4 linked regions of the Saccharomyces cerevisiae S288C genome follow. The main gene of each other region encodes a partner of the protein of the gene in region 2 in a complex. Each region holds a gene or a part of one and is shown on either strand. Other genes may lie near its edges. A codon is read from its position in the direction of its gene.

Region 1 (4,786 bases), on a different chromosome or scaffold from region 2:
TTTGAGATCGACTCGTGGTATGAGTTTGTTTGCAGGAACAATGATGACGGCGAGCTAGGATTTTTGATTCTAGACGCTGTACTATGCAAATTCAAGGAGAACGAAGATTTAAGCTTAAACGGTGTGGTTGCTTTACAGAGACTATGTAAGAAATACCCAGAAATATACTAGCTAAAATCGCTTTTATTCTTACCTTTATGTACTGTTGCCTCTATATGTCTTCCCTTCATATAATAAATTCCATTTCTAAAAAAATTGTAGTTGTGTTTATAGATGTATAGATAGATAAATGAATGTGTACTTGCTGCCTTAACGCCTTCCGCTAAAAACTTTTTGATATTTATTTTATTTTTAACCTTTCCTGACTTCAACCCTTACTGTAATGATGATAGTAGAAGCCGTCTATTTTTCATACTTTTCTCATGTTGATTTTCCTTGCAGACAAAGACAATCTCTTGGATGGTTTGTACCAACCACCATTATCTGAAGGCATAGATGCAGGAGTAGCGTAGTTTACTCCCGATGATATCGTATAAGACCAGCCAGGAGTTATCGTAGTTGCTTGCTCTGGCAATGACCCAAAGGTAGAGTAATATGTCACAGCACTAGTGGCAAATTTCCTTGTCCATGTGGTAGCGGTCACTTTAGTATTTGGCTGCATTTGCATTGGAGCGAAACGCGACGTACCAGTCTGCTTGGTGTACGGAACAGTAAATGAACGACTGTCAATAGTAGTGGCTTGGGCGTTGTTTGTAGTGGTTGTTTGAATAGAAGTCTGGGGAGTAGGTTCAGTTGTGGCACTATATGTATAAGCCGTAACACCGCCCATGGAAGTCAACTGGAATCTTGGTGTATAATGGATAGTGTAACCTTGACCGTCCACCTGGGCAAAAACTTGAATGTAATATTGACCGTTCCCAGTTAAGGTCGAAGCAAACTCAGCTGTGTAAGAGTAAACTTTATCATCTTGTGTTAGCTCACTTGGAGTAATTTTACTGGCAAGTACGGCCACACAGTCAATGTTGTTATTAGGACCAGTACAAAGACTGAACGTGAAAGTTGAAATCTTGCTTAACGAGGGATATGCCCCATTATCCATCCATTCAACGGGAACAGAGACAGTACCACCACTTGGACTGAATGTTGCCTTGGAGCTGGGGGAAACAATATTCACATCTCCCAGCACAAATGAGACTAAAAACACCAAAGCACATATGATGGAATTTCTTTGTAAACGCATTATCTATAATATGTCACAGTTGCTGATTCTCTGAGAAGGAAGTAAAAAGCGAAAGAGTAGATTCCTAGTAATCAAAACAAAGTGTGAACTGCCACTTTTAGCGCTTCTTGGAACTATCAAACTGGAGCAAATCTGGCTTCAAGAATGCTTTGAGACTCCTGTTCTATTCCTGTATTATCCTTGAAGATCTTTTTCGAGGAAAAAAAAAAAGAAATGTAAATAAAACACCTAATCGTCAAAAGTGATATTATATTGAACCGCCGTGGTTACGATGGAATAATGGTCAATACGCAGTTTAGATGGCATCCAACAATTCAGGATGGCCAATGATGTTATTTTAGTTTGAATTGATTACTTTTGAGCTAGTTTAAATTCGATTTAAGAGCCATTAAGTAGGCATCACGAATAACGAGGCCGGACGTTTGGCGTTTAGGCCATTGGCGAAAAGACGAAAACAAACTATATCAGATACGCAAGAGGAATGTGTAAAGGCCATGCAAGGCGCGATATATTGGTACATCGAGGCGCGTTCAGAGACCAATTGTGATACGGTTTGCAAGCATGGAGAATACACTGGGTGAGGGGTCCACGGTAAACGCTTCCGTGGACGTGGACCAACATGGCAATGACAACAATAGTGATAGCAACGCTAATGCAGCTGTGGCAGGGGTTGCCAATACAGATACTGCTGGTGAAGAATCGCAGCAACAAGATGAGTCTCTGAAGGATGAAGCAACTGTTCCGAACACACGCGATGCAGAAAGTGAGGCGATAACGGTAACGGCAAAGCAGCAGCCGACTATGCAAGCGAATAAGCTAGATTCCCAGGAAACACCTTCTACAGAAGAAAGCAGGGCCCAGAACGTCTTTGGCCAAGATAATGAGGATAGTGATAATCTCTTTGGCGAAACCGAGAGTTCTGTTTCGAACAATGAGGCAAACACTCCTAGTATACCTACGAACCCGGTAGACAATGAAAACAATAAGCCTGCTATTAAGGAAGACAGCACAATACAGGATTCAAATGGTGACGTTAAAAACATGGAGGACGTCAAAATACAAAAAGAGGAAGAACCAGAGAATAACACTGTTATTGAAGGTGTCAAAGAAGAAAGTCAGCCAGATGAGAACACAAAGGAAATGGATGAAGTGGAAGAAGATGATGAGGATGACGATCAACCGATGATTAGTCCTGATAATTCCATTTTTGGAGACACAAAGAGTGAGTCTAAACAACTAGGCAACACTTCGTCGGTTGCTAATACTCCATCTGAAATTCCAGATGCGCATAAAGCTGAACAGGAGGATATCATAGAAAAGACGGAAAGTGTAGATAAGAAGGTAGATAGTGGCGAAGAGAGAAACGAACAGGAACGTGAAATCATGAACGATCACTCCAAAAGTGCCAATCCAAAGAAAACCACTATCACCAGAGTAGAACCCGAAACTTTTGAGATACCGCAAGCACATGAAATTGTTATTCCAAGTTATTCTAAATGGTTCAATCTAGAAAAAATTCATTCCATTGAAGTTCAATCGTTACCTGAATTTTTCACCAATAGGATTCCATCAAAGACACCTGAAGTTTACATGAGATACAGAAACTTCATGGTAAATTCTTACAGGCTGAACCCCAACGAATATTTCAGTGTCACTACGGCGAGGAGAAACGTCTCTGGTGATGCTGCTGCATTATTCAGATTGCATAAATTCTTAACAAAATGGGGGCTAATAAACTATCAGGTTGACTCCAAACTATTACCTAAGAACATCGAACCCCCACTAACGTCTCAATATTCCACAAGGCATGATGCCCCCAGAGGACTATTCCCATTCGAAAGTTACAAACCATCTGTACAACTGCCGGATATGGCAAAGCTTAAAAAAATGATGAACACTAGTGATTCGGAGAGTACTTTATATAAATATTTGAAAGAAAGCAAAAGAAAATATGATGAAATAACTCACCCCCCCAGTACCACTGATGATGAAAATGGTGACAAAAATGATAATGGTGGTAAAATGAACAATGAAGTAAGTACGTCAACAAGCATGACTGGTGATGCCAATCTATTGGAAGAAGGCGAAACTTCACGTCCTCTGAAAAAAGTCAAAATTCTAGAACAAATTGATGAAAATTGGTCAAAAGAAGATTTGCAAAAGCTATTAAAGGGAATACAAGAATTCGGCGCTGACTGGTACAAAGTGGCCAAAAACGTTGGCAATAAGTCGCCTGAACAGTGTATCTTACGTTTCCTTCAATTGCCCATTGAAGATAAATTTTTATACGGTGACGGCAATGGCAAGGGTGATAATGACAACGGGTTAGGACCTTTGAAATATGCTCCTCACTTGCCATTTTCGAAGAGCGAAAACCCCGTTTTATCAACAATAGCATTCTTGGTGGGTTTGGTCAATCCGAAGACTGTACAGTCGATGACCCAGAGAGCCATTCAGTCCGCAGAATCAATAAAATCACAAAAAGAGGAAATCTCTGACCAAAAGCCAATTGAACATATTAAAGAAGGTTCAGAAATTGCCATATCATCATTGGGTTATAGGAGTCATATTTTCGCTACCAACGAGGAAAGGCAAATGAATTTTTTGACTAACGAGCTAATAAGACTTCAAATGGAAAAATTGGACGCTAAATTAAATCATTTAAAGAAACTAGAAAAATTTATGGAGCTAGAAAGGAAAACCCTAGAAAGACAACAGGAAAACTTACTAATTCAGAGATTGAACTTCAACCAAAACTCCAGCAAGATTGTAAACGTTTTAAGCAAATGCTTGAATTTAATATCCGACAGCAATATCAATAATAGTTCAGTGGCGGAGAAGGAGGAAATCAGGTCGCAGATAGACCATTTCAAAAGTATGCTATCGAAACCTGAAACTTTAAGTATTGGAAAGAATCCATTTAACAAACCTAATATTGAAACAGGTGAAAACCATAATGGCCAAAGTATATCTAACGAGAATGATGTCAAACCCATTTCTATTGAAGCACCTCAATTTTACAGGTATTGGTCGGCATAACAATGACACATGGAGATCATTTTTGTTTTTGTTGTAATTATTCTTCATTAGTAACACTTTCTATTTTGTTTCGCTCTATATTTTTGCTTATTTTCTTTCTTCTAGGTTCATTTCTTTAATGGTGCGTCACTTGACTTGGCTTCTCTCTGATTTTTATCCCATTTCTCTAGATTCGACTAGACATGTTATGTACATGTAGATATATATCTATAATTGTGTTATTTTCTATTTTTTCTATTTTTTTTATTTAAAAGAGCCTTTATCAAAAGTTATTTTTCTTGTTCTGTGTTGTTCTTAGTTTGATTTTGATTCTGTGTATTGGCCTAAACAAATTAGTATATAGTAGTATATAAATCAAATATTCACTTTAAAAGATTTTAAAATTAAAAAAGCATTTAAGCAGAGATACGTTTTTGGGCAGCAATTCTACCTCTTTGTCTAGAAGTCAATCTGACAACCTTCTTTTCAGCAGCCTTGGCGACAGCTTCTTCCTTTTCGGTAACAACC
Region 2 (5,069 bases):
CCTTGTTGTATATCCGAAGACTGTTGTGTACGTTTCTTAAAAAGTCTATCAAGAATATTAAAATGTCTTCCTATTTTTCCTATATGTCTGGCTGCTTGTTCCCTCAGCTGGTGTGGTACTAGTCTTTCTGTCGTACTATTTCCTCCACTGCTGCTTCCCTCGTCCTCTATGCTATCTTCCTCGTCAGACCCTATTTCCGTTTCCCCTTCTACGCCAGTTTGTGTGTCTCTAGTTCGTCCTGCGTTTCCGACATTTATGCCATCAGTAGATGAACCTGCATGAAGTGTATTCATTTCTTGCCCTATAAGTAGTTCTTGCTCTGGCATAGCGCTTAGTTTCCTAGACTACGTGTTCTTGTTATTCTCATGCTCTTTTTATGTATCTAAATTGGAAGATTTTTATAAAGGTTATGTACTATTCTTCTAAAAAAAGTAGGCGCAAAGGGACTCCGCATCGTATAACACGATGATAATACAAATTCTTCCACGGTTATTTACATCTCCGGTATATTTTATATATGTGTATATATTTTCTATGTATTCTGTGTGTTATTGTTACTGCTACCATTATTGCTATTAGTCAACAATGTCGCTTCGCTATCATGTGGTGCTACTGGAGGTGCTATAGGAAGACTAGGTGTAGGTACCGATTTACTAGCTGCCCCACCTGGGATTACTGGCTGCAGTGTGGGATTGGGTGAATTAGTAACAGTGTGATTGGCAATCGGGTTTGGGATTGAAGGTATCGTCACACCAGCGCGAATGTTACTATTCAGCTTAGTTTTCAGCGATTCTGGACTCGGAAGCATTGCATTGGTGCCACTACTTGTGTCATTGGGCGCTGCTGCGAACTCTTCTTTTGTATTAACTTTCCCAGGCAGTTTAATAGAAAGTAGTAGCGAATGACCCGGAATATGGTCAATAATATAACAAGGAGGTGAAACTGGCTTAGGTCTATCTGGCCTGCTTTTATAAGTGGTTGTGTTTCTCAATTCGTACGATTCCACAGAAGGGCCTACGTCAACACCACCAGGCATTAAAGTGCTAGGTACTGGAGTCCTGAAAGTTCTTGGAATATCTGCAATATCTGGCAGTAAAATCTCTCCTGGTGGCAACGATGAAGCATTTCCTGCTGCTACTGTGTTGTGAACGCCGTTCATAGATGTATTACTTGCAGATGTGCCGGACAATGCGAGCATACCACGTCTATTAGATCTACCTTGTCTTCTTTTCCTTCTTGTGTCTCTGTCCTTATCTTTATCCAATCTCTCTAACTCTGCAGCTGAAATCTGTAATAGGTTTGGAGTAAAAATTTTGCTTTCCGCTGCAGGCCTATAAACATCATCAAGAGTAATCGTTGGGAGCATTCTGCTTCTAATGTCATCATCTTCTATCGCTGATCCATCAAAATTGTAACCTAACAGTGCCAGTGATTTATGATACATATGAACTTGCTCTCTTATGGAGTGAGCAATGGCAGTCACAAACTCACCTGGTAGTTCTAATTCTTGACACATGGACTCTGCAAACTCTTCTGGACAGTTATCACTATTAGAGATGTCCCACTCAAATTGATCGATTAACTGGTTTTGTCCCACGACAATATCCAGCTTGATTCTAATTCTCAAGTCATCACCGCCTAGACGGTCCTGATTCAACTCTATATATGGATTTCCTTGAAACTCCTGAATCTGCTCTTGTATAGATTGACAAATAGTATCAATGTGTTGCTCTCTCGTAGCGTCCTCAAATCGGTAATCTCGCAACATGTCGTCCACAAAGTCTTCAATTTTAATAAGCTTGTCATTTTTGTTCCATAACAAAGTGTCCCTGAGGAAGAATCTGTCACGATCTTGATCGAACTCCAATCTTATGGGAACTAACTGTTCCGATGTCTCATTCATGGCCTGTTTATAGACTTTTAATTTATCCTCTAGGTAATGCTTCCTATTTCCAACTTCTACTTGTGGAATAACTCTGGTAGTTGTATTCGTAATCCCATTACCATACCCTGAGTAACCATTTCCCCAAATACTTGCCGAAGGAATCTTCTGAGAAGTGCTTGTGATAGATTTCATTCTAGTGTTCTTCAAATCTTGATAATACTTCAGTGTATGCCACAGTCTACTAATATACTCTTTATTACTAAATCCATAAATGCTAAACGGATCGTAACCATTGGTTTCTCTTATTAGCGAATATTTGTTAATTTTATCACGCTGGATAATTTGTTCGTACAACAAAGTATCCGTATCTGCTTTTTTGTCTGACCAATAGGTTGGATATGGTAGCTTGGTTTCTGGTGGATCGTATTGAATAGTTTGGTACTTGGGTAAGTTTAATTTTGGAAGTTGAGGAAGTTGGCCAATAGTTGGCTGAACATTGGTGGGAGGTTGTCCACTCATGGATCTAACTTGAGGAACTTGCTGAGATTGCGGTATTTGTCCTTGCTGCTGCTGCTGCTGCTGCTGCTGTTGTTGTTGTTGTTGCTGTTGTTGTTGCTGCTGCTGTTGCTGTTGCTGTTGCTGCTGTTGCTGTTGTTGTTGTTGTTGTTGCTGATGCTGCTGCTGCTGTTGTTGTTGCTTTTGTTGCTGCTGTTGTATTTGCACATGATGCCTAAACTGTTGTTGCTGTTGTCGCTGTATTTGGTTTCTAAGTTGCTGCTGCTGTTGCTGCTGAACCAGCAATTGCCTCTGCTGTTCTAGCTGAGTTTGTGCCGTTTGCTGTCCCTTTTGCTGCTCAATTTGGCGTTGCACTTGTTGTTGTGCAACAGTAATTGCATTCACAACCTGTGGATTATTTTTTGCTATGGCCTGCTGCCTCAACTTGTTCAAAACTTGTTGCTGTGTAGCCAAAGGTAACTGAGCAATTTGTGGAGGCAAATTAATAGGCGCTGGAGCTAAGGGCACTTGACCAATTTGGGGATGTAAGTTGTGTGGTGCTGGAGGAGGAGGAGGGGTAGAAGTCGCTGATTGATTAGCAATGGGTTGAGATTGTTGCGGAGGAGGGGGTGGAGATTGATGCGTTTGCGGTGGCGGTGAAGTTTGTTGTTGTTGTTGTTGTTGTTGTTGTAGACGACTCCTCAGTAACTGTTGGTGTCGTTGCTGAATCATCTGCAATTGTTGTGGTGTGAGGCTCTGATACAGCTGTTGCGGAATTTGCGCCATGTTAAAAGATGGAGTTCCAATGTTGCTAAATATATTTCCAATACTATTTGGAACGCTGTTGGTACCCTGCGGCTGATTATTCATTGTTGCTTTTGTGTAGTTCTTTACTATATGTTCCCTTGATGATGCTTTGTTTTGGTGTTTATGTTTGAAATTTCAGTTTCTTTTAAATGCGACGAAAAATGAAATTTTTGGTCAAAGAACAAGAAGAGATTTATTTAAAGTTGGCGATAACAGGACTTGGGCAACAACAGAGGCTGTAAACCTTACCAACCCAACCAAAATAGATGTATTTGTCATTCTATATCACTGATACAAAGAACAAACTTATTTTCCAGTATCTTTTAGGTGCAACAGCTCCCTCCTTCAAGCACCTGTGGACCCGCGTTCAGTCCACATGTCCTCAATTGCTCGAAGATAGCAGTAGTGATGATTATTTAGACCATTCAATGGTTGGAAGAGATTTAGAGGTCTATAAGTATTTCTCAGTTATAAATAAGCTCAATTATTGGTGCTTAGCCTCCACTTCGAAGTCAAAAGGCCCGCTTGATTGTTTTACCTTTTTAGAGACTATAGATCGTATCCTGTTAGAATATTTTGACAAGGATAAATTAAGTATCAAGAAAATTGTTAATAATTATGATAGAATCAGTTTGATTTTTAACTGTTGCGTCGAAGCGGGTGAACCAAATGTGAGTGATATGCTCTATGTTAATAAAATTAAAGAAGCTGTTCCTGAAAGATCGGATTTATCGAAGTTCATAAGTTCTACAGCCCATAATTTACAGCAGGCTGTGCAACTCCCACAACAAAGGCAACAGCAGCTACAACAAAATCAGATTTCTCGTGGTAGTAATTCACTAATCGAAAATGAAGAGATTGTTCCCTGGAGAACTTCAAGGGCTAGCAAACATGAGAATAATGAGCTTTATGTGGATTTGTTAGAAACATTCCATGTTGTATTTGAAAAGAAAAAATCACATCTAAGGTTGCTCACTGGAAGTATCCATGGAATAGTGGACGTGAGATCTTATTTGAATGATAATCCTCTAGTTGCAGTAAAATTAAACACTATGGGAAATGATATAGGTATACCCAGTTTGCATGACTGTGTTGAAATCAATGATGGTGTGTTTTCTCCCTCTAATATAACGTTTATACCACCAGATGGGAAGTTCAGATTGCTGGAGTATTCCGTCGATTTAAGTTCTCAAGTAAAGCAATCCGGAGTAAGGATGAATTCTATTGGCTTGATGTCTTTACACTTCCAAAATGGATTGGGTAAAGATTCTGATGAATTTGAGTTATCCTTAAATATTGAAAATTTCAAAAAAGTTTCACAAGTTGATGACCTAAAAATAGATTTACAGTTCAATGTTGAGAATGCTGATCCAAATGAAATAGCATATAAGATAAAAATATTGCGCAATACTCATGGCCGTTTTGAAAATAGCATTATCATGGGTCAAGGACAATGGATTTTTGATAAATCAACTGCCACTGGAACGGTACCTGTACTACGTGGCTGTATTGAGTATGAAAATACTGGGCCAAATTTTACAAAAAAAGTTGATTTACAAACAGTCTCCTTAGAATATTCTTACATAGGACAATCGGCCAGTGGAATCTATGTAGAAGCCATCGATATTGTATCTGGATTAACAATTGGCAAAAATACAAAGCTGTACAAGGGTGCAAAGTATAAGACCCAGACAGGCAATTTTCAAGTAAGGCTGTAGTTATATGTGTACTTGAAATTCCATGCGAAACTAAATAGAATATAATGAGAATATAAGTCTTGGAATAAAAAAGGAATATAAAACTATGCTAAAAAAAAAAAAAAATGAATAAGACTTTCATTCATGAAGACTCTATACAAAGGAATGAAAAGTTGTATTAAGTT
Region 3 (4,140 bases), on a different chromosome or scaffold from region 2:
AACAAAGCTAAATGATGTCATTAAGGTCCAACAAGAGCTATTATCATTCATGACTACGATAACTAAACAGCTCTCTTCTAAGCCACCAGCTAATAATGAAAAGGGAACGTCCACCGATGATGCAATCGCTGAGGATAAAGAAAATTTCAAAGACTTCTTATCAATCAATCAGAAATTGGAGAAAGTCCTGGTTGAACAAGAAAAGTATAGGGAAGCTACCAAACGTCATGGACAAGATGGTCCTCAGGTCGACGAAATTGCCAGAAAACTAATGATTTGGTTACTTCCATTAATTTTCATTATGTTGGTTATGGCATATTACACATTCAGAATCAGACAAGAGATCATAAAGACCAAACTGCTATGATTTTGGATTATTCCTTCCACTCAAACCAATTGTGCACATGCATTCCCTATATATGTATATATATGTAACAATACATATTTTATAAAATAACGAACGATAGTTTATATTACTACTTCAACAATGGTTTATTTCTTATTGGAGTGTTCCCTACATTATGTTTTACTTCTTTCAATTATTCATAGCTACTTCGTTGCTGAAGTTAGCCAGGTTGTCCGGTTTAGCGGCGACCGGATCCGTCGCCACCACTGGATTAGCATTTGTGTTCTTTACTTCAGTGTCCAGCTTAACAGCCGTTTTATCCCCAGCGACATTTTGTGGTACTTTGTTCACATGAGAATAAATGTATGGAGGTTTAAAATCCTTAATGTTACAATTTCCTAGGAAGTTTGGGTTCGGTACCCTCTTTGTTGTTATTGTTTCATCCGTATTCGTTATTTCGTTAAAATTTGTAGTAACACTCGTTTGCGCCAACACATCTTTCAAATATTTATTTTTGAATTCATCCAATTGAGACCGTTTCAAACCGATAGGAATACCTGCCTTGTACTGCCAGTACTTTTTCCATTTTTTTGTCCTAACTTTTCTAACGTTCTGCAAACCGGTATTAACAAAAACGGCATCGTGTAAATGCTCTAGTTCTTTAATTTCGTTCGGTGTCAGCTGTTTCAACCTTTCTAGCAGCGTGTTTTTTTCATATAACGGCAATCCTCTATAATATTGCTGTTTACCTGAATTCTCGGCGGATTTTAATGGCAAAGATTCAAATTTCCAGCCGTTTATGTTTAACGATGTATTATTTTTGTGTTGGCCCTTGTTCATGGGTTTTATCATTTCGTTCTCCTCAGACTTCTTGTTTTTTGATGAGGAAACGTTAATATCAAGAATGCTACTTAGCATTCGTTTGATTGGTTTATTGCTAGGATTGACAGATGGAATATGGTTAGGAAGTGAAATTGAAGCGGAACCATCAGGAGCTTGACTTTCATATTGCGCAAGTAATTCTTCATGTCTTCCGATTGGTATGTCCATTGCCTTCATTTGCAGAGCTTGTTGAAATGAGTTTTTGCTGTGATAACGCGGTACTCTAAATTGTGCACTGAGTTCCAATGTTCCACTAATGCTTTGACCAGGAACAATTGCCGAAATGTGCTCACCTTTGGCAAAGTTTTCAATATAGGCTTCTCTAATCTCCGCTGACGGTTGTTCCGTGACTATTGGATACTGTGATTCGAATTTTGAAGTAGAAATCGTACAGGTATTATTAGTGTTCGCACTAATTTCATTGGCATTGCTAATCCTGTTATTTTGGAAGGAGGGGCGTAAAAGTGAGATTTTAGAAATTAAATTTGTTGATAATTTGAAAACCCTTTGGTGAGACGACAAATTTTGCTTTTTAGCTAAAGATTCCCAATAATCATCAACGATGCGTTGACCACCGGCAATAACAGAAGCACCGAATTCAACAAAGGCTGACCTGGCAGTTATATACTTAAAAGATCCTTTGGATTCTTCAGGAATGACACCATTTTTGGCCAAAAATTTTGTTTGTTCCTCAGAAGTTTCCATTACCAGAATTTGATCATGCTGGACAATAAACTCGTCCTCGTCATGCGTTGCGTTGCTTTGGTATAACACTTTAATGACATCTTGTAAAAGTACCAGAAGAACACCCATATGAGCCGTGAATGTGAAGGTGTTGAACAAATAATGTCTACCGCCAAATAATTCACCGTTCGAACCCACTTTTTTCTCACCATAAGCATCCAATTGTATCATCTTGTAGGATGTATTAGTAGCGTCTCTCGTCTTAAGTTCATCTATATATTTCGGTAATTCTAATTTTTTGTAGGGAAATTTGTCTAAGGGAGGTTGAACCAATTCATCTTGATCCAGGATTTGCAGAATTTGCTTAAGTATCACTCTTTCATGTTCTCTGATAAGTATTTTGGGTACTATAAATACAGCTCCAACCTCTCCTTGTTTTACAGAAGGATTATTTCCCTTTTCAAGAACGGTATTCCCTTCATCTTCGCCAAGCATATTCGTCTCTCTTTAAAACGCCCTTTGTTTTGGTTCTTCTTCCTACTTTTTTTATTTATAGTATTATACATTCCATGTTTTTCTTGTTTTTACATTGAGAAAAGTCCAGAAAGGGAAAAGTGATGGTTCGAAAAAAAAATATAGACGGCTGAAACTACAACTATATTTAATGCACAGGGCCACTTTCTGAACGGCTAATCTTTCCATGTCAGGATATATTTCCGTTGTACTTGACGAGGTCATAATACTCTGAAAATTTTTTTAGATACGACAAATATATCAGCTGCTAAACTCCTTTATGGATGTGTTGAAGGGAACACTTATCGCTTATTCTTCCTACGTGCTAGATTCCGTAACTGAGCTGTACTTCCCACATCGTAGTTGCCTAAATGTGAGAAACAAGAAGTGCCCTTCGTGCTTAGACCGTGGATATCATATATGTGAAGGTTGACAGTTCTTCCAAGTTTCAACAAACTATGCAAGACCTCCATTAATTTATACGCACATTCATTTGACAGAGGCCCTGTATACAAGAAGTACAGACAAAACTAACCGTTGTCCATATCCTACTATCAAACTATTCTTTCAGGTACGTTTTTACTGCCTGACCGGCTATAAGTTACAAAAGCGACTCCTTGAGATAAAAATTTTCTTCGAAAAATGCAGCATTTGGTTTGGCTGTTCACGAAAGTGGCTGCTTCCAGAGAAATCAGGTTTTCCTCGAGCATATGATATTTTAACGTAGAGGTTTATATTATAAAAGTGGAAAGGTAAAATCAACAGCGTTTATTTCCTCTATTCAATGTTCAGCAAGGACGGTAGAGACTACTATTGCTAAACAATTACTTACATGGAAATGTACTGTCAGTTGGATAAAAAAATCGACAGGAATATATTTTAATCACCTTTATAGAAGTACTGAATTTTTATGAGAAAACGTGAAAAAACTTCGTAATGTCGTCCTTATCCACTTCATTTGATTCATCGTCAGATTTACCAAGGTCAAAATCCGTTGACAATACGGCGGCTTCCATGAAGACAGGCAAGTACCCAAAATTAGAGAACTATAGGCAGTATTCTGATGCACAACCAATACGTCACGAAGCGCTTGCATTGAAAGTGGACGAAACGAAAGATTCTAGACACAAATTTAGTTCCTCTAACGGGGAGAATAGTGGAGTGGAAAATGGAGGCTATGTGGAGAAAACGAATATATCCACAAGTGGCCGCATGGATTTTGAAGGTGAAGCAGAAGCAGAAGCAGTGAAACGTTACCAGTTAAGATCTTTCGCGCTTTTAAGTTCTAATGCGAGGCCATCCAGGCTAGCAAAGTCTGAAACTCACCAAAAGCAGATTCATGTAGAGAGCATCGCTCCCTCTTTGCCAAAGAATGCGGCTTTAGAGAGAGGCCATGATACGGCGTTACCTGCCGGTACGTCAAGTAACAGATGCAACTTAGAAGCCTCCTCCTCGGCAAGAACTTTTACAAGCGCTCGTAAGGCTTCGCTAGTTAGCGCAATCTTTGAAACATCGGCTGAATCAGAGCATGGTACGCATCCCAAACAGGCGAAACTTAAGAGAAGAACCTATTCTACAATATCGACACATTCATCAGTCAATCCTACAACGTTGTTGACAAGAACTGCATCGCAAAAGTCCGATATGGGAAATGACACACGAAGAATTAAACCGTTACGTATGGATAGCAGGGTATCTTTCCATAGTGAGATATC
Region 4 (6,098 bases), on a different chromosome or scaffold from region 2:
CAATTCATCTCAATACTGCGCCGAACAGCTTCTGAAGCGATCTTGACTTTGTGGGCAGCTTGAAATTTTCTTGGATGATTCTGTCCTATTTGAGCTTTACCTCCTCCCATCGAAAGGGCGAAGTCACACCGTTTTCAAAGGTGGAGTGTTACCCCACCCCCCACGCTGACTCCACATCTGACTCTCTACCGTTTTATTATAGCGAACGTTAACTCTGAATGTATGTGTGGTGTGTATGAATTGTATTTACTGCCTGAAATGGAGTCATAAACTCCTTTATACAATTTCAAGGAATTTTTGTAGCCGCGACGGGACCAGTGGGAAGTTACTAAAACCATTGTTTAGTTGAGCCGCCCAAGATGTGACTTCATGGCAGCTATACGTTCATTTGGGCTTTTGGCACTAAAGGCGCTCTTCCGACTGTATTGTTTCCATAAGGTCTATTATATTAGTTACAACATTTTATATAGGTTTATAAAAAGAAAATAGTGCGCAAGGAAGAAATAAGCAGTAAAAGAATATTGTTTAAAAAAATCGCATCATTCCAAATTGGTTAGGATATCATTTTTTAAATTGTAAAGTAATTGATACTGGTTTATTATTTGAATATCAACTGATGGATTAGTGAATAACTGGAAAATTTCTAAATCCGTGGGGAACAAATTTGGAATCGATGCTATTTTTTTTAATATTTCCGGGTCGTTGTTTAGGCAGTTTTCAAAACAAATACTTTTTTCAACCAAACATTTGATTAACTGAACACAGGATATGTTAATTGACGGTAGGAGCACCTTTGAATAATTTTGTTGCTGTAACAAAGTATTCTTACTTGTGGAATTGTTAATATTCAATATTATCTCACTTAACTTCAATAGTCCAGATCCAATATTTTCTTCAGAGCTCAACCACACAAATGGTAAATTCTTGTTGAAATTGAAGCTAGAATCTTTGTTGCCGTTATTGTTACTGTTACTGTCTGAATTATTCTCACTGATTTCAAATACTTCATTGGATAACGGCAATATTTTTTGTACAATGACTAAGATGCTAGTTAGACTCTGAGAAATTACCGGAGAAAATTGGTCGATCAGCAAACTTGGATCAGCTGATTGCGATAACACTTGCTGCAGCGGTATGGCAGAAAATAAAAACGAAACCACATCATTTAGCAAGTTGTGCCTATTGTTATTATTTTTATTGTTATCATTGTATAAATTCAAAAGTCTTCGTAACAACTTTTTGTCCTTGTGGTTGTTGTTACTGTTGCGATCATAGAGGTTGTTACCTGTGTTTTTGTTCAGAAGGATTGATTTGAAATAATTTAGGTTCGGTTTTTCCAATGAAAATAATTTGGCCAAAATATCTACACCGAAAGTTTGATATTTTCCCCATTGCAACTGGAATTCGTTGAAGGTCAAAGATTCAGAGCCAAATGATGACGAAGACGCCATTGGATTGAGTTTTGGTTGACCAAAACTTATGACTAGAATAAGAATTAACAAGCAATCAATGGACGAAGCGATCTCTAATAAATGAGAAATATTTGATAAAACAATAACCAAATCCTTCTTGAAATTTAGTATTTTCCTATTGCATGTAAAGTTTTCTGGATGGATTAAGACTAACCAAAGTAGATCAGATATAAATCTCTTTAGGTAAAAATTTCTCGACATGATTCTGGAGTTGTTATCGGAGAATGAAATATTCCTCAAAATCATCGAGATGGTAGACAGTTGATCGTTAATCAGAACTTTGGGATCCTCTGCCCCTCTGGTATTTATTTTTGTAAATGGATCATCAATTTCATCCTTGATTTTTTTCAAAGAAGTCAAATAAGGAGTTCTGTGAATTTTCAAAGGAAATTGGTTAGGGAGGAATCTTATTGGTTCAGGCAATAAGTCCCACTGTTTAACTGCGGGAGATGTCGACTGCATACTTATAAAACATTCAGTGTCGAGATCAGGCTCCATTTCAGTAGGAGTAGGGGTGGGCAATTGATTACCTGTTAAAGAATCTACCAGGATAGTGACTTTTTCATCGTTAGAATCATTCGGTGTAAGTGTAGCGTTGTTGTTTACCTTTTCAAAAATTTTATCAACCATTTTATCGTGTTGGGTAACATAGTATTGATTTGATCCAGCATCCTCATAATAATAGTCAGAAGTGTTTCGATGGTATGGAACAACATTTTGTGACAAATTTGACAGTAAATTCATGCCGAGTATTGCCAAGGAGTCTAATAATTCAGGGTATTTGACCAGAGATATTTTTAAGTTCGAGTCAGCGCTTGTGACCAACAAGGTGTTCAAGGCGGTGTTTATTTCTCCAAGATTCTTCGATTGGAGGGACATTGATAAAGCATGTAAATTAATTGCACCTAACTCTGGCGCGAAGAGAAAAATTGGCTTGTTGGAATCTATTTTCTCTCCTATTTTAGAGATGTAATTGATATCGTAACCATTGTAATGCTTGAGGCGGTTGATTAGGGGTTTGTAGTTCCTAACAATTGATCTCTTGTAGACTTTAGGCAATTTTTTTAGTTCGATTTCATATTGTTGACGTAATTTTGTCTCTAATAGCAATTTCTGTTGCCTTTGTTGATCCTCTAAAAGTTTTTGTTGTCGTTTCTGAAAATCCTCCCTTTCTTTACGTTCTAGTTCCAATTCCTTTTTGGTCTTTTTTTTCACTCTTTGCTTTCTTGGCTTCTTAACTTGCTGTTGGCCAATATTGTTATTATTTACGTTGATATTAATATTGCTATTCAAGCTTTTTGGAGTGTTTGCTGAAACCGGAACGATCCCTGCTTCTGTTCCTGGTGCTGCTGTAGCAGGAACGGACGCGCCAGGAGCCGCGGGGGTTGGTGCTGACGATGCACTATTAATGTTATTGTTGGCATTGGCCAATGCAGCGGCCTGCTGCTGTTGTTGAACTTTCTTCAATAGTTCTTGTAAGAACTGTTGCAAGAATATTCTTTTCGCTTGAGTTTCCTTTATACCTTCTTGGGAAATCATGTGTCTTTCGTAAGGTAATAAAATTCTAAAATAGATTGATTCTAATTGTTGGTAATCGGAAATTTGCAGCCTTTGGGCCACCATAGACCACTGTTGGGTCCTTGTTACTTGATCTGCACCACCGAATTTTTGAACCAACATATAAAGATAAAAAAGATTTATTTTTCTGTTGCCGATTTCTGGTATTGATTGTAACGGCATATTTCTTTTTTTACAGTTTTCAATCAAAGATTTCATAAAAAGTTCATATTGTTTGTTATTCAATTCAGTAGATATTTTCTCTTGTAATGCCGGGTTCAGACTTTGTAAAATAGATCTTTGTTGTTGCTGCCGTTGACTCTGCAAAAATTTGGGATTCTGTTGTTGCTGTTGTTGCTGTTGTGGTTGTTGATTTTGCTGTTGTTGATTTTGTTGCTGCTGCTGCTGCTGCTGTAGAGCCTGAAAACGTTGCTGCTGCTTTTGCTGCAAAGCGGCAAACATTGCAGCTCTTTCAGAGAACACTGTATTTGCGTTTGAAGTTGAATTATTGGTATTAGCGGGAGTTGCAGCAGGCACGGCAGTGACATTATTGTTATTGCTCGTTTTATTATTGCTGTTATTACGCATATTATGGTTATTACTGTTGTTGTTGTTGTCACTTGTGTTCGGAACAAATTCATTGCTTGCAGAGGATGATCTGTCCATTGAATTTGAAGCAGCGTAATTAGAAATAAGCTGGTTAGACGTCAAATTACCATTATTGGAAGCACTGTTATTGAATGGCAAAAATTGTTGATTTGCATTCGGAGTAGAGTTAGAGTTTGTGTTCGGAGTAGAAGATGAGGAATTTTGACTGATGGATTGAACATTGGTGATAAAATGGGGTGTTATTACATTATCGTTCGCAATTCCGGTGCTATTATTATTATTGTTACCGCCATATAGCTGTTGTTGAGCTTGAAGAGGTAAATTGGAAGAATCAATGATTGAATTCTTGGCTAAAATAGCCTGAGGAGACAGGCTGTTTAAATTTGTGTTGGAATTGTTTGAGTCATATGGAGAATTGAATTGGGGAGACTGGTTCTGAATGAAATTAGCAGCTTTTCCACCGGTAACATTAGCAGGAGCGGCATTATTAACGACTGCTGTTGGAGAAGTAAAGTTCGTGCTGGAGGCTACCGTGTTACTGTTATTGTTATCATTGTTATTACTATTACTGTTGTTATTGTTGGAATCCAAATTCTGGTCAAAAGGTTTTGGGTCGAAAAAATTCTGAAAATCGTCTACACCACTGGCTCCGGTATTCGTATTGTTGTTATTAGTATTGTTATTAGTATTACTACTATGGCCTGTGCTATTGTTGTTATTGGTATTATTAGCAGGATTATTATTATTATTAGTATTATTATTATTAGTATTATTGTTATTGGTAGTAGTAGTAGTAGTAGTAGTATTATTATTATTATTATTATTATTCAAATTAAAGAAATCCATCTTTATTTATTACTATTTTTATTATTACTATTTTTATTATTATTATTATTATTATTATTATAAGACACGAAAAGAAAGAAAATAGAGATAGAAAAAGAAAATTTTAAGAATAATGAGTGTAATAGGAAAATAGCCGCCAGTCAGTGATTATTACCTGGTGAACAATAATCTGCAATCCGTGAGAGGAAACAACGCGAAATGCCAAAGCAGAGATGGTGTAATAAGGATAGAGCCACACAACAATACTTTCTAGAAAAATAAATAATAAAAAAATAAGGTAAACAAAGTGTAATCAGTTGCCTTGCCGTATAGTGTTTTGCGGTATAAATATTGTTATTCAATACGAATGATGAATACCGGAAGGTGGTTATGACTAAAACGCAATGTGAATATGATTACAACTGGCAACAACCACAACAGAAACAACAATAATGCATAGTGGTAATAATACGTAAAGTCAATCAGCGTTCAGTTTTAAAAAAAATCTTTTCTCGGTGCTTTGGGGAAGGAGGGGTGGCGTCGTTTCGTAATCGGAGATACCCAAAGTTCATATCACGATAAACGTCAGTTCCGGGTTAGAATAAATTTATGCGGTAGTTTCTGTGCGAACTTGAGTGCGGTGGCATTTTCCTCCGGCGAGGCCTGGGTGGAACACTCAGGCAGGGGGTACACCCAGACCTGCAGGCATGCATCTGCTGTTTCGGCGGCTATTTAACATGCGCACGATTTTACGAGAGGAGAAGAGAAGTATGATATAATTAACGGTGAGCATTTTTGGTAATGGGAGGTGAAGACGAAATATTAAGCACGATGGAGGATTTTGCGGCAGTTTACGATGTCCTGGTAATTGGTTGCGGGCCTGGTGGCTTTACTGCAGCGATGCAGGCTTCGCAAGCAGGCCTGCTCACAGCATGTGTTGACCAGCGTGCCTCGCTGGGGGGCGCCTACCTTGTAGACGGGGCAGTCCCGTCCAAGACCTTGTTATATGAGTCTTATCTTTATCGGCTGCTACAACAGCAAGAACTTATCGAGCAACGTGGCACGCGGCTGTTTCCTGCAAAATTCGATATGCAGGCGGCCCAGAGTGCACTCAAACATAATATAGAAGAGTTGGGCAATGTGTATAAACGTGAGCTATCTAAAAATAATGTTACTGTGTATAAAGGCACGGCTGCTTTCAAAGATCCTCACCACGTTGAGATTGCGCAGCGCGGCATGAAACCGTTCATCGTAGAGGCGAAATATATTGTTGTGGCGACCGGATCTGCGGTTATTCAGTGTCCTGGTGTTGCAATAGATAATGACAAGATAATTTCATCTGATAAGGCATTGTCACTGGATTATATACCTTCACGTTTTACTATCATGGGAGGAGGTACAATTGGACTAGAAATCGCATGCATATTCAATAATTTGGGCTCTCGGGTTACTATCGTTGAATCTCAAAGCGAGATCTGTCAAAATATGGACAATGAGTTGGCTTCTGCCACGAAGACCCTCTTGCAGTGTCAGGGTATAGCTTTTCTTTTAGACACTAGAGTGCAGCTCGCGGAAGCCGATGCTGCCGGTCAGCTGAACATCACCTTGCTTAACAAGGTGTCAAAGAAAACATAT

Evidence for each region.
Region 1: the proteins of SNF5 (region 2) and SWI3 are in contact, whole or in part, in a cryo-EM structure (PDB 7C4J), measured with the Saccharomyces cerevisiae proteins. Residues at the interface, in NP_009848.4 of Saccharomyces cerevisiae: Pro324 (codon at 2,281), Ala332 (codon at 2,257), Asp333 (codon at 2,254), Thr334 (codon at 2,251), Asp335 (codon at 2,248), Leu337 (codon at 2,242), Leu338 (codon at 2,239), Gln341 (codon at 2,230), Gln344 (codon at 2,221), Arg345 (codon at 2,218), Lys347 (codon at 2,212), Ile348 (codon at 2,209), Arg355 (codon at 2,188), Tyr360 (codon at 2,173), Pro362 (codon at 2,167), Ser364 (codon at 2,161), Tyr366 (codon at 2,155), Gly367 (codon at 2,152), Phe368 (codon at 2,149), Glu372 (codon at 2,137), Thr380 (codon at 2,113), Tyr383 (codon at 2,104), Tyr384 (codon at 2,101), Asp386 (codon at 2,095), Leu387 (codon at 2,092), Thr390 (codon at 2,083), Ser394 (codon at 2,071), Ile402 (codon at 2,047), Pro403 (codon at 2,044), Ser404 (codon at 2,041); in NP_012359.1 of Saccharomyces cerevisiae: His303 (codon at 2,708), Val306 (codon at 2,717), Pro308 (codon at 2,723), Tyr310 (codon at 2,729), Val324 (codon at 2,771), Gln325 (codon at 2,774), Pro328 (codon at 2,783), Glu329 (codon at 2,786), Thr332 (codon at 2,795), Arg334 (codon at 2,801), Ile335 (codon at 2,804), Ser337 (codon at 2,810), Lys338 (codon at 2,813), Phe349 (codon at 2,846), Ser353 (codon at 2,858), Leu356 (codon at 2,867), Asn357 (codon at 2,870), Asn359 (codon at 2,876), Glu360 (codon at 2,879), Tyr361 (codon at 2,882), Phe362 (codon at 2,885), Ser363 (codon at 2,888), Val364 (codon at 2,891), Thr365 (codon at 2,894), Thr366 (codon at 2,897), Arg368 (codon at 2,903), Arg369 (codon at 2,906), Asn370 (codon at 2,909), Val371 (codon at 2,912), Ser372 (codon at 2,915).
Region 3: the proteins of SNF5 (region 2) and SWP82 are in contact, whole or in part, in a cryo-EM structure (PDB 7EGM), measured with the Saccharomyces cerevisiae proteins. Residues at the interface, in NP_009848.4 of Saccharomyces cerevisiae: Ser413 (codon at 2,014), Gly414 (codon at 2,011), Tyr415 (codon at 2,008), Gln466 (codon at 1,855), Arg470 (codon at 1,843), Phe472 (codon at 1,837), Tyr499 (codon at 1,756), Arg500 (codon at 1,753), Phe501 (codon at 1,750), Glu502 (codon at 1,747), Gln508 (codon at 1,729), Gly553 (codon at 1,594), Gln554 (codon at 1,591), Asn555 (codon at 1,588), Glu582 (codon at 1,507), Leu583 (codon at 1,504), Glu584 (codon at 1,501), Leu585 (codon at 1,498), Pro586 (codon at 1,495), Tyr639 (codon at 1,336), Arg640 (codon at 1,333), Ala642 (codon at 1,327), Ser645 (codon at 1,318), Lys646 (codon at 1,315), Thr649 (codon at 1,306), Pro650 (codon at 1,303), Asn651 (codon at 1,300), Leu652 (codon at 1,297), Leu653 (codon at 1,294), Gln654 (codon at 1,291); in NP_116605.1 of Saccharomyces cerevisiae: Glu279 (codon at 1,573), Arg286 (codon at 1,552), Glu287 (codon at 1,549), Tyr289 (codon at 1,543), Ile290 (codon at 1,540), Phe293 (codon at 1,531), Ala294 (codon at 1,528), Lys295 (codon at 1,525), Gly296 (codon at 1,522), Glu297 (codon at 1,519), His298 (codon at 1,516), Ser300 (codon at 1,510), Ile302 (codon at 1,504), Pro304 (codon at 1,498), Gly305 (codon at 1,495), Gln306 (codon at 1,492), Ser307 (codon at 1,489), Ile308 (codon at 1,486), Ser309 (codon at 1,483), Gly310 (codon at 1,480), Thr311 (codon at 1,477), Leu312 (codon at 1,474), Glu313 (codon at 1,471), Leu314 (codon at 1,468), Ser315 (codon at 1,465), Val320 (codon at 1,450), Glu468 (codon at 1,006), His471 (codon at 997), Leu482 (codon at 964), Arg486 (codon at 952).
Region 4: the proteins of SNF5 (region 2) and SWI1 are in contact, whole or in part, in a cryo-EM structure (PDB 7C4J), measured with the Saccharomyces cerevisiae proteins. Residues at the interface, in NP_009848.4 of Saccharomyces cerevisiae: Pro316 (codon at 2,305), Pro317 (codon at 2,302), Glu318 (codon at 2,299), Ile342 (codon at 2,227), Ile343 (codon at 2,224), Asp346 (codon at 2,215), Asn349 (codon at 2,206), Glu356 (codon at 2,185), Thr357 (codon at 2,182), Phe368 (codon at 2,149), Ser369 (codon at 2,146), Asn370 (codon at 2,143), Tyr373 (codon at 2,134), Ile374 (codon at 2,131), Leu377 (codon at 2,122), Trp378 (codon at 2,119), Thr380 (codon at 2,113), Leu381 (codon at 2,110), Tyr384 (codon at 2,101), Gln385 (codon at 2,098), Leu387 (codon at 2,092), Lys388 (codon at 2,089), Arg391 (codon at 2,080), Ile395 (codon at 2,068), Ile407 (codon at 2,032), Trp408 (codon at 2,029), Tyr412 (codon at 2,017), Asn417 (codon at 2,002), Ile419 (codon at 1,996), Thr420 (codon at 1,993); in NP_015309.1 of Saccharomyces cerevisiae: Arg662 (codon at 2,501), Tyr664 (codon at 2,495), Pro666 (codon at 2,489), Leu667 (codon at 2,486), Asn669 (codon at 2,480), His673 (codon at 2,468), Gly676 (codon at 2,459), Tyr677 (codon at 2,456), Asp678 (codon at 2,453), Tyr681 (codon at 2,444), Ile682 (codon at 2,441), Ile685 (codon at 2,432), Lys688 (codon at 2,423), Ile689 (codon at 2,420), Ser691 (codon at 2,414), Asn692 (codon at 2,411), Lys693 (codon at 2,408), Pro694 (codon at 2,405), Ile695 (codon at 2,402), Phe696 (codon at 2,399), Leu697 (codon at 2,396), Phe698 (codon at 2,393), Ala699 (codon at 2,390), Pro700 (codon at 2,387), Glu701 (codon at 2,384), Leu702 (codon at 2,381), Gly703 (codon at 2,378), Ala704 (codon at 2,375), Ile705 (codon at 2,372), Asn706 (codon at 2,369).

Annotation. Positions count from the first base shown.
Region 1 is NC_001142.9:91,546-96,331, reverse strand, and holds SWI3 (Swi3p), read left to right. Parts: upstream 1-1,801; coding exon 1,802-4,279; downstream 4,280-4,786. Other genes in the region: RFA3 (Rfa3p), read left to right, coding at 1-171; KRE9 (Kre9p), read right to left, coding at 410-1,240; 60S ribosomal protein uL22 RPL17B, read right to left, coding at 4,675-4,786. UniProt on the Saccharomyces cerevisiae protein: Involved in transcriptional activation. Component of the SWI/SNF complex, an ATP-dependent chromatin-remodeling complex, which is required for the positive and negative regulation of gene expression of a large number of genes.
Region 2 is NC_001134.8:777,848-782,916, reverse strand, and holds SNF5 (Snf5p), read right to left. Parts: upstream 3,251-5,069; coding exon 533-3,250; downstream 1-532. Other genes in the region: BSD2 (Bsd2p), read right to left, coding at 1-326; APM3 (Apm3p), read left to right, coding at 3,454-4,905; YBR287W (uncharacterized protein), read right to left, coding at 5,063-5,069. UniProt on the Saccharomyces cerevisiae protein: Involved in transcriptional activation. Component of the SWI/SNF complex, an ATP-dependent chromatin-remodeling complex, which is required for the positive and negative regulation of gene expression of a large number of genes.
Region 3 is NC_001138.5:35,070-39,209, reverse strand, and holds SWP82 (Swp82p), read right to left. Parts: upstream 2,408-4,140; coding exon 536-2,407; downstream 1-535. Other genes in the region: EMP47 (Emp47p), read left to right, coding at 1-367; putative Mg(2+) transporter ALR2, read left to right, coding at 3,362-4,140. UniProt on the Saccharomyces cerevisiae protein: Involved in transcriptional activation. Component of the SWI/SNF complex, an ATP-dependent chromatin remodeling complex, which is required for the positive and negative regulation of gene expression of a large number of genes.
Region 4 is NC_001148.4:519,400-525,497, reverse strand, and holds SWI1 (Swi1p), read right to left. Parts: upstream 4,485-6,098; coding exon 540-4,484; downstream 1-539. Other genes in the region: IRC15 (Irc15p), read left to right, coding at 5,265-6,098. UniProt on the Saccharomyces cerevisiae protein: Involved in transcriptional activation. Component of the SWI/SNF complex, an ATP-dependent chromatin remodeling complex, which is required for the positive and negative regulation of gene expression of a large number of genes.